Linked DNA regions of Schizosaccharomyces pombe. The protein of the gene in region 3 interacts with the protein of the main gene of each other region in a biochemical or structural test. Each region holds a gene or a part of one and is shown on either strand. Other genes may lie near its edges.

Region 1 (5,351 bases), on a different chromosome or scaffold from region 3:
ACCAGCATGTTGTCCTTCCTCGTACCAAATACGATGTTGCTATTGATGAAGAGTCTCCCAGACCCGGTCTTCAAACGTACGAGAAAATGATTGCTGGATGCTATTTGGGTGATATCTTGCGTCGTATTCTTCTTGACCTTTATGAACAGGGAGCTCTCTTTAACGGTCAGGACGTTACCAAGATTCGTGACCCCTTGGCCATGGATACCTCTGTGCTCAGCGCTATTGAAGTTGACCCCTTTGAGAACCTTGATGAAACTCAAACCCTATTTGAGGAAACCTATGGTCTCAAGACCACCGAAGAAGAGCGTCAATTCATTCGTCGTGCATGCGAATTGATTGGAACTCGTTCTGCCCGTCTTTCTGCGTGTGGTGTATGCGCCCTTGTTCGTAAAATGAATAAGCCATCTATGATTGTAGGTACTGATGGTAGTGTCTACAACTTATACCCTCGTTTTAAGGATCGTCTTGCTCAAGCATTTAAGGATATCCTTGGTGAGGAAATTGGCAGCAAAGTTGTTACCATCCCCGCCGAAGACGGTAGTGGCGTAGGTGCTGCATTGGTCAGTGCTCTTGAAGCCAAAGGCAAGGCCCTCACTTCTGATATTCTTGCCGAGCATCTTAAGAATTAAGTCCACTCATTGTTTTTAGGTTTTACGGATACTCATTTGATTTTGTGTCACTGAACTCCACGAAGTGTTCGACAAACTGTTTTATACTGCACTTTTTATTTGTTTCATACTCCATCTTTTTGCGTACAATTTGTTCCAGCAATTTTTATGGTTACACTTTTCTTTGTCTACTAATCACGTATCAGGGCGTTTTTACAAAAAGGTGCTCCACCTGATAAAATATTTTCTTTTTTGCTCTAGTGTTTCTGTGGATACGATATCTGCCTCTGATTGCTAGAATACTTTAAATAAAGGTTAGAGTTTTGTTATATTTTGTATGTTGAAGTGTAATAATAGCGGTATCTTTGTTGAAGATATCCGAGTTTAACAAGACAACTGGCTATACTATCTTGCGAAATATGCCTACTACGACAATAATGGTATCAACCCATAGCTACATAACATCGGGAGACTTTCAATGAGTTACACCCTCGTTTTCCAATTCGGAATGACAGTCCGAGTCCCGAAGTAGAGAGATTCATCGTGTTACGATTATTCGCTAACACCTGATAACATATTTTATCTCGCTGCTCGTGTTACATATCAGGAGTGCGGGTATGAGATTATGGGGATTTAATGGCTGTCAAGCAGGTTACCTGACGTTTGTTCTTATGTATTTGTTTACACATACACAACATTTGGCGTTGCTAGGGCAACAAATCAGACAAACTGCGGTGGATCGAATAGCTGAGATGTATGGACATGTAAACAAACATACAAGATGCAAAAATTTATGTGTTTTCATCTAGTTCAATGTTGTTAATGAAATGATTATTTGCTTTTATATAATTAATAGATTAAGAGGTGACATATTGTAGCTTGAAACGGCATTATCTACGCAACTAAACTATACAACAATAGTTGTCATGGCTGAGGTGTTGGCTAAGTATTACAGCTTACAGTTTAACTTTGCTTTAATCATGTATTTGTTTTTATTATTGTTTTCTGTTACTCGAATTTGTTGGTTGGTGTTTTATTGTTGTTGTTACCTTTGCTTTTTTTTCCTCTCGGAGGCAGAGCTGAGATTTCTCTCTACCCTCAACTATCTACAGCGCTTCAAGCTCTTCTCCTTTAGATCAAGTGTATTACATTGAAAATATTATTCTTAAGAATACCAAAGTTGTAAGTTTAAAAAGAACTTGATGCCTGTTAGTTTCGGGCATCCTTCTCTCCTCAAGTTGGATTCCTGTTGATGCTTCTCAAGTACTAACTGCTGGTTCAGTGATTTTTTGAAACGTCTATAATACAATTGCTTACGCTTTTTAAGGCAATTAATAGGATTCTTGAAGTTATTTGTTCAAGAAGCCTTTATATGGTAAAGTGGGGGGTTTATTACTTGTAACGAACTTTGAGTCTGAACTTTTGGGTATTCTGTTGTTTTCATATTAATCAACTGCTTTCTTTTAACTTTCTTTTTTCTTTCATTTTTTCTTTCAACGACAGTATCTTTTATATTCTATATTATAGTCGTGACCGTTGGTGCTCATCTATTTTTGTCTCATTAATCTCTTTTTTTTTATATACTTTTATTCGGTCTTCCCGTCGTGTGGAGTCTAAACTTACTTAAACTTCTTTCCGGTTTCTTTTGTAAAGGTTGGTTTTGTTTAATATTTGGCTATATTGCTTTCATCCTGTCTTTCTTTTAGTTTTCTTTTTGTCTCACTTTGGCATTAATATCTTAAACCGGTCTTTTGACTCTTCCCTAGGATTTTCCTTTATAATTTATCTTACTTGCTCTATTGATTTCTCATTCTGAAACTCAATCTTTTGCAGTCGTGTCGTCCCATTAGTTCTTTTTGCAGTGTACTTGGTTTAAATTAAATTTACCATTTTGTCTGCTTTTAATAATAGTTAAACCTCAACTAAAATGGATTCTCCGCTTTCTTCACTTTCCTTTACCAACACTCTATCTGGCAAACGGAATGTATTGCGTCCTGCTGCCCGTGAATTAAAGTTGATGTCGGATCGCAATGCAAATCAAGAGCTGGATTTTTTCTTCCCGAAATCCAAACACATTGCCTCAACATTAGTGGATCCTTTTGGAAAAACTTGTTCGACAGCTTCACCTGCATCTTCCTTAGCTGCTGATATGTCAATGAACATGCATATCGATGAAAGCCCTGCCTTACCGACTCCTCGTCGTACGCTCTTTCGATCTCTTTCTTGTACTGTAGAAACCCCTCTCGCTAACAAGACTATTGTTTCACCTCTCCCGGAGTCACCCTCGAATGACGCTTTAACCGAGTCCTACTTCTTCCGGCAACCTGCATCGAAGTATTCCATTACCCAAGATTCCCCACGTGTTTCCAGCACTATTGCTTACAGCTTTAAGCCTAAAGCATCAATCGCATTAAACACCACCAAAAGCGAAGCTACTCGTTCGTCATTATCGAGTTCTTCTTTTGATTCCTACCTTCGTCCTAACGTCTCACGTTCTCGATCATCAGGCAACGCACCCCCATTTTTGCGATCCAGATCGAGTTCCTCATATTCCATTAACAAAAAGAAGGGAACTTCTGGTGGACAAGCTACCCGCCATTTGACTTATGCCTTATCCCGTACCTGTAGTCAGTCGAGCAACACGACCAGCTTACTTGAAAGTTGTCTTACTGATGATACGGATGATTTCGAATTAATGTCTGATCATGAGGATACATTTACGATGGGCAAGGTTGCTGATTTACCAGAAAGCTCTGTTGAACTTGTTGAAGACGCTGCCTCTATTCAACGTCCCAACAGTGATTTTGGTGCTTGCAATGATAATTCTTTAGATGATCTTTTTCAAGCTTCACCCATTAAACCTATTGATATGTTACCCAAGATAAATAAAGATATTGCCTTTCCTAGCTTGAAAGTTAGGTCCCCTTCTCCGATGGCATTCGCTATGCAAGAAGATGCGGAATATGATGAGCAAGATACACCAGTGCTTCGTCGTACCCAAAGCATGTTTCTCAATTCCACAAGACTAGGGCTTTTCAAAAGCCAAGATCTTGTGTGCGTTACGCCAAAACAATCGACCAAAGAAAGTGAGCGCTTCATCTCTTCTCATGTCGAGGATTTATCTCTTCCTTGCTTCGCCGTGAAGGAGGACTCATTGAAACGAATTACCCAAGAAACATTGCTCGGTCTATTAGATGGTAAATTTAAGGATATTTTTGACAAATGCATCATTATTGATTGCCGTTTTGAATATGAATACCTTGGGGGCCATATTAGCACTGCTGTGAATTTAAATACGAAACAAGCTATTGTGGATGCCTTTTTAAGTAAACCTCTTACTCATCGGGTTGCACTTGTTTTTCATTGTGAACATAGTGCGCACAGAGCACCTCATTTGGCATTGCACTTTCGAAATACCGACAGACGAATGAATAGTCATCGTTATCCTTTCCTTTACTATCCCGAGGTTTATATACTTCATGGTGGTTACAAGTCGTTTTACGAAAACCACAAAAACCGTTGTGACCCAATTAACTACGTTCCGATGAACGATGCTTCGCATGTTATGACCTGCACCAAGGCTATGAATAATTTCAAACGAAACGCTACTTTTATGCGTACTAAAAGTTATACTTTTGGCCAAAGTGTGTTAGCTTCCCCAGACGTTAATGATTCTCCTACTGCCATGCATTCCCTCTCTACACTTAGAAGATTTTAATGATTTTAGGCTGACTCAATACTTTACCTAGCCTGAAGTATACTCTTATATATTCAACTTTCTAAACCTAAGTTTTTTCTATAAACTTTGAATCATGAAACCTTTTATTTCTATTTTTTATTATTATTATTGAAAGAAAGCAATATACCTTTTAAAAGGTCTCGACAACAAAAAATTTAAACTGGCTAAACTTTTCGAAGTACATCACTTTTACGACTAAATATCTAGAACGACTAGTTTGGTTATTATTATTACGCATGGATTTTGGTTTAATAATTGATTATTTTATAATCAATTGAGCTTAATAATTTCTAAGCAATCACGGGTAAACATACGTACCGAAGTCCATTCTAATTGCTCTTCTCGCAATTGCTGTTGATAGGAATGCTAAGAATTTAGCATTCTTTGATTGAAGCAGTAATGCGATAGGAACTGAGTTGCTTACGTTTTTGTAACTCTACCTAACCATCTCTGATGGAAATATTTAAGTAGAAAACGAATAAAACTTTTATTTTTAAATCACTTCCTTTTATGCATGTTCTGTAAGCGGTAGTATTGTAGCTTACCCTTTCCAATGGAAGGTTAAGTTCACCAGAGAGTTACGAAGTTTTATGTGATATAAAATAGTTACAATGCGGAAGTTGGACATTCACACTTAAGTACCTTCCCAAAAAAAAAATTACGAAAATTTTTAATCAATACTACTTTTTTGGTAAAAATTTAAACATGTTCCGTTGAGAAAGTGAATCATATGTGTGCTTTTTTAAAATTTGAAGATATTTGTAGATTTTGTTTTGTTTACTTTTTATTTGCAACAATCAGAATGTCGTCATCTAAGTCAACCTTAAATTCGCTTATATGAATTTTATTGATTATGACATCAACGCCCTATGAAGTGCAGCTTTGAACGCCAACGATTGTATTTAATACATTGTAGGATAAACCTCGTAATCATAAATAACGAATTGTTTAAGTATGAAAGTTTGCAGAGCACTTAATGTTCAAACAAACAAATCTTTTTA
Region 2 (3,944 bases), on a different chromosome or scaffold from region 3:
TATTAAGTGATGATCTTGACAATTCAAAAGCTTTTAGACCTTATAAACAGTCGTTTTTGGCTCAAGGTTGGAAGAGTTTAAATTGAATAGCGTCTATGTGTTTTATCTTTACAATTTAGGACTATTTCTTGCGCTCCTTTTTTTCTCACAAAGAATGCTTGATGATTTTGTTTCGTTGATAATAATTTTGCTATTATTTTATACTATTTTTAAATAATTATAGTTGGGGTTAATAATTGATTTGCTTTTGATTTGTATGATCGACAGCCGATTATAAACATGCTCGACAGTATTCGATCGAACTACCTGCATAAACAAGGTAGTATTCAGTACTAAAGGTTAGACGCCAAACTAGTGAATTTACAATACCTAAGTAATTGATGCAGTGTTGCCCATCAACACCCTAAGAACAGACGACTGAAATGATACTTCGTGAAACGATTCTCAAAAGTTACCTATACAAATTTACAGCTTTTGTTATTTAACATCAATATTGATTAAACTTAAATTAATAATTGTGTTTTAATGTACCAATTACAAATTCCTAGTGAGTAAATAATACCAAAAGCATTGATTACTTTGTATAACAAACGAGGCTTTCGATAAAATGGGATTCCCTAAATAAAATAAATCTAAGAAGCAGAAGAATTGTTGTGAACATAAAAATATTTTATTTAAACATTGGAGGGATAAAGCATGACACGGAGAGAGGCACCAAAGGTCTTGGGAGGAAGATTATGGGTGAAACGAGCACGAACAACACCAGAATTTCCATGAGGACGACTAACAGTTCTAAAACGTAATTAGTAAAGGTTTTGAATGTATTCGTTTAGCCAACAAAAAACGACCGTGAAAATATAGCATTAACGTTTCTTCATATTCTCCAAAGAAACGCAAGAATTTAATTACAAAAATAAACTTACCCCCAAATGACACGAATCTTGGATCCACGAACGGGCTTGTTGCTTTTGTAGACGAAGCAAATACGCTTGCCTAGGTAAAATTGGGCTTCTTCCTTAGAATCACATCCCTCAATCTTTACCAAAGAAGTTCCTGGGTGGATAACATGTTTGCTTCTTTGAAAAGAGAGATGTTTAGCTTTAACGTACAATCTGTGTCCCTGAGCAGGCATTTTGACTTGGTAAAGGCGGAACTCTTAGTGTGGTGATCCTTACCGTTTGCTTAAGCTGTGACTGCCCTTCTTGTGCTTGCAAAACCTAAGCTTGTGTTGGTAGTAAACACTTTCATAAATCTAGCATAGTGTAACGTACTTCATAATCTTATTGATTGCGATCATATAGCTTAATTCATTATATAATCTTAAAAAGATACTCTTCAATTTTTTAAAATTATCTCTCACTTACCAATACAGTATAGTGTAAAGTTTTTCTAATGATCAATATAAAGTAACGGGGACTAACTTGATAATATTCGATTTTGTTTACATATTATTGTTTAGTATTATATCTTGTACCTGAATAGTCTACTACTGAATATAGGAATATCGGCTGATTAAACCTATTCATTGTATCTCTAATAGTACAACAATTTGGTTTTATCTGAACTAAATAAAATTTATTTAGCGAATGAAGAACAAATTATGAATGGCAGTAATGGACGGACGCAATGTAGCCGTCGTAAGGTGAGCCAATGTCATTGAAATTCATCAAACCTAATGTCTCAGTACAAGAAGCAAAGAGTTTTCAAATTACTTAACCTAAAAAATGAAATTCTATAGACTTAAATCTGTTTGCTAAGTGGACAAGATCGGGTTTTGCGTAAGTAAACAAACTTCATTTCGAAGATGAGTTGGAGGAATGTTCATTGAACTTTTTCAATTGAATTATAAAATTATTATATAACTTTCAAAATCGATTTGTAATAAACTTGAGTGAAAACAAAACTAAGCTAAAAATTACCTAGTTTAAGGTGTGTCGCTACAAATTCTCGTTAAATCCATAAGAAGCTTTGTGGAACCACCGTAATTGCTAAAACTCGCCAAATGGACAACCTAGATGAAGATGACTTAGCATTCTTCTCAAAGCCTATTAAAAAGCCTCCATTAAACTATGCCAAGCAATTAATAGCCTCTTCCTCAGATTCTGGTAAGTTTTAATTCCGATTGCAAAGTGTCAGCTTGCTTACAACATTCTAGAAGAGGAAAGTGAACTTGATACCAATAAACAAGCATTAGAACACATAAATGCACAGAAAAATATAACTCATAATGAAAACAAAAGTGCCGAACCTTTATCTCGTCAATCCACTATTTTAGATGCTGATGAAGGCAACCAAGACGTTTCAGACACTACTCCTAATGCGTGTTTGAATGAAGGTAGGCACTCACCCAAAAGTGCTATCTCCTGTGTAACACAACCGGTTTCACCAGTTTATAATACTAGGGCGGCCGCTAACTTGCGAAACAACAGCATTAATAGTGAGGCTGCGCTTTCTACGACTTCATCACTGCTGGACGATGACTTTGCTCGTAGGTTAGAGGAAATTGATCGGCAAGTTCAGGAGTTTGAAAAATCATCAAGTGATATGGATGTACAAATTCACACGCATAAGAGAGAAATTGAAGAAGACGATGACAATACTTCGGCTGATGTGCCCCTTTTAAAGCATTCAAAAAGTGACCACTCAACGCTGTATCACTCCAAATCGGAATTCTCAACAAATGAACCAGTTATTTCCGTCGTTCTCCAGTTAGCCGTAATTGGACAGAGAATTCCAAACAGCAATATCTCTCTTCCCCGGGACTGGGAGGCACCGTTATTTTTCAAAGTTAAGTCGAACCAACAGTTTCGTCGTGTCAGAATAGCGTACTCTGAAAGAAAAAAAGTAGATAACGTTGTTCTTGTATTTCAAAATCAAAGATTATGGGATTATGGAACCCCAAAGGGCGCTGGTATGCTTAAAGTCGATACCCGTTTGGTTGTGCATGCCTACTGTCACTCGGATTTTATATCACTCAAAAGAATAAAAGAATTGGAAGTGGAAAAGTTATCCTCGGTAACTGAAGATTCAACTGCTCAAACGTGTAAACTTATAACGTTGCTTTTGCGTTCGAGTAAGAGTGAGGATCTTCGTCTCTCAATACCCGTCGATTTCACTGTTAAAGATTTGATTAAGAGATATTGTACTGAAGTAAAGATTAGTTTTCATGAACGCATTAGATTAGAATTTGAAGGTGAATGGTTAGATCCCAACGATCAAGTGCAAAGCACGGAACTTGAAGATGAAGATCAAGTTAGTGTTGTTTTGGATTAAAAGGATATTTGGCTCTTACTTTTACCATTGTTCTTTCTTATATTTAATTACCGCCATAATACTTTTATAGAATGATCACGAACGACTATGTATAAATCTAACTTATTCATTTCATCAATATGTACCATTATTAAATAAAAGTTTCCATTTCCCCAGTTTGTAATTTTTTAACCATATCTATCTATACACGTCACTAGAAGTTCATGAAAATGCTTCGGCTGGTATAACATTTCGCGACTTTAATTCCAAAAAAGATGCTAGAGCGCTGTTGTAATCCCAATTATTTTGCTCACAACACATGTGAGCATAGTAATCATTTAAACCTGTCTCCGCCTTAATTTTTAATACAATTTGTTGTCTAGTGTCTAACATTGCTTGTTCCGGTCTTGGCTGTACAATATCACTAGGCTTTGAAGCAGACGCAGACATGGCATTATTGCTTGTTCGTACACTGCTTTGACCAGGTAGCCACCCGAGCGATCCAGCAAATGAACGAATGACTAATAAATCATTTATAATCAATATGCCTGTGGAACCTCCCGGCAAAATCAGCAAAGTTCGATCAAAACTTCGTAGAAGTCGTTTGTTTTGTGGTTCCTCAAATTGCCCATGGACAACAATTTTGATGGCTGCACCAACCGAAGGCAGAACCAGGTTCCAACCATCAAAAA
Region 3 (5,160 bases):
CCAACGAAACTAACAAAAAAAATTTAATTATTCTTTGACATAAATATAAGTCACGCATTGTAGCAAAGATTGATTAATACAAGTTCAATACCCAAGTATACAGACAATGAAAGAAGGAACGCAATCGATTTCTTATTTAAAACCCAGAAATCTAAGCGAGAACCTCTACATTAATCATTATTGTAGTGTTCAGCTATTTGTATGCGCATGAAAAGATTTAATTTCTCATTTCAAATCATGATAAAACATATACTCGTGAATTTATATAGAAAGCTCGAGGCAAGATATTGAGATAAGTTATGAAAATGATCTAATTATAAGCAAAAACATTAAGACTATTGGCTTAAATAACAAACGAGGAAATTAAAGAATATGGAAAAAAGGATTATATATGTTTTCTGAATTCAGATACCTTTTTCTTCTGCGAGACAAAGGCAATAACTTGTAAAGTTATTTGCAATGGCGGTAGAATTAAACATAGTAAGGTAAAAAAATAGGAAGGTGTGATTAAAGGTAGGACATTATGTATGTTTTCATATAAGGTCTCAAGATCCGAATTATTTTCTATTACAATGTCCGCAAGCTGACACTTAAGTTCAAGAGGCATCTGCGCTTGTACTCGGTTTTCAGCATCCTCTGCAGTAAGCTCAGGATTACGTGCCAGCAAACGTTGCTTTTGAATGCTTTTATCGCAAGACACGCAGATCGTTTTCCAGCAAATAAATTGCATTTTAGCTTCAAAAAGCAAAGGAACGTCCAAAATAACTATGCTGTAACCCCGTACGTAACATCGAAGCAGTTCTTTGAGCATTTCCAAACGTACTGCTGGATGTATTATTGAATTCAAAAGTGACCTCTTTCCTGCGTCTTGAAATACTGCCTGGCCAAGCTTTGCTCGATTCAAAGTGCCATCTTCATGTAATACTTCATTACCGAACTCTTTCTGAATTTTTATTAAGCAAGGTGTATTCGGTTCTACCACCTTTCTAGCTAACACATCAGCATCGATAATTTTTATATGATATTTCTCTTGAAACTCGCGAGAAACTGTAGATTTCCCTTAACTAGGTTAACCACTATTAAACCAATTGTTATTTGATAACTTACCCGTGGCAATTGAGCCGGTTAAACCAAGAATCAGCATTATATTTCTTATTCCTTGCTTTGGTATAGAAGATTTTTGAATAATGGTAACAATTAAGGAGATCAGAAAACTATTTAATGCCGTAGAACAAAGTCTTCAATCGCGGAAGTCGAAGTTTGAAATACAAAGGAATGTTGACAGATGGCAACCTTCACGTATACCAAAAAAATATAAATAGGGATTACTACTACTTAACAATTAACATTTAATCCTCACTACGTATAACGTACAGTAAAGTAGGTGGATGAAACATTGTTTATATTACTCGTGCTTCGCGAAAAATCTGGTATTGCAACAGTTCGTTATTATTGTCTTATGATACATTTTATATCGTAAAATTTATAACGATGTTTAAAGCGAAGTCAGTAAATCATAAGCCCTCGTCTGACATGATAACTGCTTCTTTGGTCTTTTTACTTCTGTTAAAAGCTTGATCACTCATTTGCACGTTTATTTGTGTTTACTGATATACATGGTTAAAGAATTCATCCAGTTTTTCTGTTTTTAAGATACTATGGAAGAACCAGAAGAAGCTACGCAGGCTACTCAAGAGGCACCACTACATGTTAGTCAGAACATAGCCAAACAGGTGGTTAACAACGAAAATGTATTTATGAAATTGGTTATGACTCGCATGCTTGATGGTAAGACAGAAGTGATTCCTCTTACTACAGATGTGCACAATGGGTTTTGGAGATTTGGACGTCATAAATCTTGTGAAGTGGTTTTAAACGGACCTAGAGTTAGCAACTTTCATTTTGAAATCTATCAGGTATATAAAATAATAGTGGCCAGCTGAACTCGTTTAGTTTTAATTGAACTTCAATCTCTTTAAGACATAATTATCTAACGAAATGACCCAGGGGCATAGAAATGATTCCGATGAATCTGAGAATGTCGTTTTTTTACACGGTAAGTCTAAAGGATTAAAAAATCTTTTAAAGTCTTCTGCCTCTTCCACCTTTTCTAACAATTTCAGACCACTCTTCTAATGGAACATTTCTGAATTTTGTAAGCGAGAGCTTAATTCGTTTACAATTTACTGACGTCATTTAGGAACGGCTTGCCAAGAATAGTAGAACTATCTTGTCAAACGGAGATGAAATTCGAATTGGCCTAGGTGTGCCGAAAGATGAAATTTGTACGTCCTTTACACTGAAGGAGATTGTTGACGTAGAATTCACTTCAAGTTTGCTTACAGTCTTATAGCTTTTTTGTGCCAGGTACCAGTTAAACATTCACGAGATTCCCAGAAAAACATGATTAAATCCGAGAACAGTCATTACGAAATTATTCGTACACTTGGAAGTGGTACATTTGCAGTTGTCAAGCTAGCGGTAGAAGTGAATAGTGGCAAGTGGTATGCTATTAAAATTATCAACAAACGAAAAATCCTTTTGACAAGTTCGGAAAAGCGAGCTACTGAAATGTTTCAACGAGAAATTGATATATTAAAATCTTTGCACCATGTGAGTATCATTTTATGTTCACCTTTTTTTATACGAAAAACTCCTAGCTAACACTTATCTTTTAGCCAGGAGTTGTACAATGCCATGAAATTTTTGAAAATGATGACGAGTTATTTATTGTTATGGAATATGTTGAGGGTGGGGATCTTATGGATTTTTTAATTGCTAATGGCTCCATCGACGAACAAGACTGTAAACCTCTTCTCAAACAACTTTTAGAAACGCTTTTACATTTGCACAAGCAGGGTGTGACACATAGAGACATAAAACCCGAGGTATATCTTGTTTATTGATAAGAAAGTCTAACTTGTAGAACATTCTTATAACAAATGATTTCCATCTTAAAATATCTGATTTTGGCTTGGCTAAAGTTATTCATGGGACGGGAACCTTTTTAGAAACATTTTGCGGGACAATGGGTTATCTAGCACCGGAAGTTTTGAAGTCAAAAAACGTCAACTTGGACGGAGGTTATGATGATAAAGTTGATATATGGAGTTTGGGATGTGTTTTATATGTGATGTAAGTTTGTCGGCTTTAATCAATTAGCAATGAACCTTCATGCCTTAATTTTTTCCAATTACTAATTCACAGGCTTACTGCGTCTATTCCTTTTGCATCTTCGTCACAAGCAAAATGTATTGAGTTGATATCAAAAGGTGCATATCCGATAGAGCCTTTATTAGAAAACGAAATTTCAGAAGAGGGAATCGATTTAATCAACAGGATGCTTGAAATTAATCCAGAGAAAAGAATATCTGAAAGTGAAGCTCTCCAGCATCCTTGGTTTTACACTGTGAGCACACACGAACATCGTACTCCACCATCATCGTCTGAACATGAGGCCACCGAACAGCTCAATTCTTCGAGTTAGATTATTAATATTTAGTATTCTAAATGATAATTAATTTTTATACTTAGACCGTCAAATTTATAATATTGTAAATAGACAGTAAGTTTACACTAACCACTCTGTCCACGTACTACTATCCCTTTGGACGTCTCGACGCGATCTTTGCCATGTGTGCTTCAGTTACAGAATCGCTTGTATGTTAATGATTTATAAAAACTAGAGCATAAAATACTAAAACTTTCTTTTTTCTTTTTAGCCAAAGTTTCCCGAATTGAAAACTCGAGATTTACAAGGGCAACAGGGACCTATACGTTCCCTAGGCTGGAATCTTTCCGGCTCGAGACTTGCGAGTTCTTCATCTTCAGGATCAGTACTTGTTTGGAATTCAGATCGTTTGGATTTTAAATTTACTACTGAATTAGGGAACAGAGGATATGGTCTTGTCGAACAACTAGTATGGGATCCTACGCATTCTGATCGGTTAATGGCTGTGTATGCTGGGAAAATGATCCGTTTCTGGGACTTTAGAAGTATGCAATGAAGTCTTTGACTGTTTGTTAACTATTTATTCAGGCGCCAAACCTATCGCTGAAATAGAAAGCAACTATGAGAATATTTATGCAACCTGGAGTCCAAGTGGAAATTACTGCTGTGCTAGTAGTCGGGTACGAGAATATTTTAAGTTTTTATAACGCACGATTGCTAATTGAATGCTAGGATGATATGTTGTCTTTTATTGATGCTCGGGAAAGAAGAATAATGGAGACATTCCAACAACCTTGTGAGGTTTGTTTTTAAACCAATAATAACTTTGCTTACGATTAATAGACAAATGAATGCTGTTGGTCATTCAGTGAAGATTTGTTTTTCATGACTACAGGACTTGGCACGGTGCAAATTATGGAATGGCCTTCTCTAAAAAGAGTTTACGATATAAAGGCGCATAACTCAAATTGTTTCTGTATTGAATTCAGTCCGGATAACAGGCACCTTGCCATTGGTGGTGCAGATGCAATTACTAGTTTATGGGATCCACAAGAACTGATTTGTGAACGGTCGATTACTAGAATGGAGTATGTAGTTTCTTTTAAATTTTTTGGTCGCTAACTTCTAAAAAGTTATCCCATCCGTACATTAAGCTTTAGTTATGACAGTCGCTATTTAGCTAGTGGATCAGAGGACCGCTATGTGGATATCGTAAGTATTTCAGGATGTTTGAAACCGTTTCTTATTTTTATTCTTTTTAATAAACTAACTTGGAAGGCTGATACGAAAACTGGTGATCAAATTTGGAAAATTCCAACTAATGGACCTCTGAACAAGGTAGCTTGGCATCCAACAAAACATATTTTAGCATATGCTGTATCGGAGCCTAATTCTAGTGGTCTTAAGATATTTGGGCTATAAATGATTGAAAATTGGCAATCTTGTTCACGCTGATCAACAATAAAAAAACGGCTACTTAGTATTTACCCTATACTCTTAGCATGGATACCTTCAATATTCATTGAAGTTGTAGTTTTAGCTTATTTGGTACCAAAAGTTTTGAAGAATGGAAGAGAAAAATACTGTTTCTTTATCTAAGCATATTGAACGTCCAGTAGAAGTTGTTGAAAGTCATTCTACGTACATTTTAAGTGCACAAGGACTTTATCTTACAGAACGCGTTTTAAGAAGTTATTTTAAACAACCTG

Evidence for each region. Proteins that work in one complex are often made in the same cells at the same time.
Region 1: of the proteins of cds1 (region 3) and cdc25, one has a biochemical effect on the other in vitro, tested with the Schizosaccharomyces pombe proteins (3 studies listed by BioGRID).
Region 2: of the proteins of cds1 (region 3) and rad60, one has a biochemical effect on the other in vitro, tested with the Schizosaccharomyces pombe proteins (2 studies listed by BioGRID, with this or other methods).

What each region holds. Positions count from the first base shown.
Region 1 is NC_003424.3:478,728-484,078, reverse strand, and holds cdc25 (protein tyrosine phosphatase (M phase inducer) Cdc25), read left to right. Parts: upstream 1-1,705; 5' UTR 1,706-1,793; exon of another isoform or gene 1,794-1,893; 5' UTR 1,894-2,538; coding exon 2,539-4,329; 3' UTR 4,330-4,851; downstream 4,852-5,351. Other genes in the region: hxk1 (hexokinase 1), read left to right, coding at 1-632.
Region 2 is NC_003423.3:2,404,830-2,408,773, forward strand, and holds rad60 (DNA repair protein, SUMO-related Rad60), read left to right. Parts: upstream 1-1,990; 5' UTR 1,991-2,002; coding exon 2,003-2,105; exon of another isoform or gene 2,106-2,155; coding exon 2,156-3,273; 3' UTR 3,274-3,444; downstream 3,445-3,944. Other genes in the region: toc1 (Tor complex Tor2-interacting protein 1), read left to right, coding at 1-86; rpl35A02 (60S ribosomal protein eL33), read right to left, coding at 675-792, 924-1,132; nucleoporin Mex67, read right to left, coding at 3,475-3,944. UniProt on the Schizosaccharomyces pombe protein: Required for repair of DNA double strand breaks which occur during replication, or induced by UV or gamma radiation, via recombination between sister chromatids. This has a subsequent role in the maintenance of chromosome structure.
Region 3 is NC_003421.2:737,729-742,888, reverse strand, and holds cds1 (replication checkpoint kinase cds1), read left to right. Parts: upstream 1-1,550; 5' UTR 1,551-1,658; coding exon 1,659-1,916; exon of another isoform or gene 1,917-2,007; coding exon 2,008-2,056; exon of another isoform or gene 2,057-2,123; coding exon 2,124-2,155; exon of another isoform or gene 2,156-2,200; coding exon 2,201-2,285; exon of another isoform or gene 2,286-2,353; coding exon 2,354-2,613; intron 2,614-2,678; coding exon 2,679-2,888; intron 2,889-2,926; coding exon 2,927-3,135; exon of another isoform or gene 3,136-3,207; coding exon 3,208-3,487; 3' UTR 3,488-3,528; downstream 3,529-5,160. Other genes in the region: cab5 (dephospho-CoA kinase), read right to left, coding at 386-1,059, 1,108-1,144; THO complex subunit Tho3, read left to right, coding at 3,634-3,660, 3,723-3,996, 4,040-4,131, 4,184-4,252, 4,295-4,539, 4,585-4,663, 4,730-4,873; protein Thc1, read left to right, coding at 5,019-5,160. UniProt on the Schizosaccharomyces pombe protein: Has a role in the DNA replication-monitoring S/G2 checkpoint system. It is responsible for blocking mitosis in the S phase.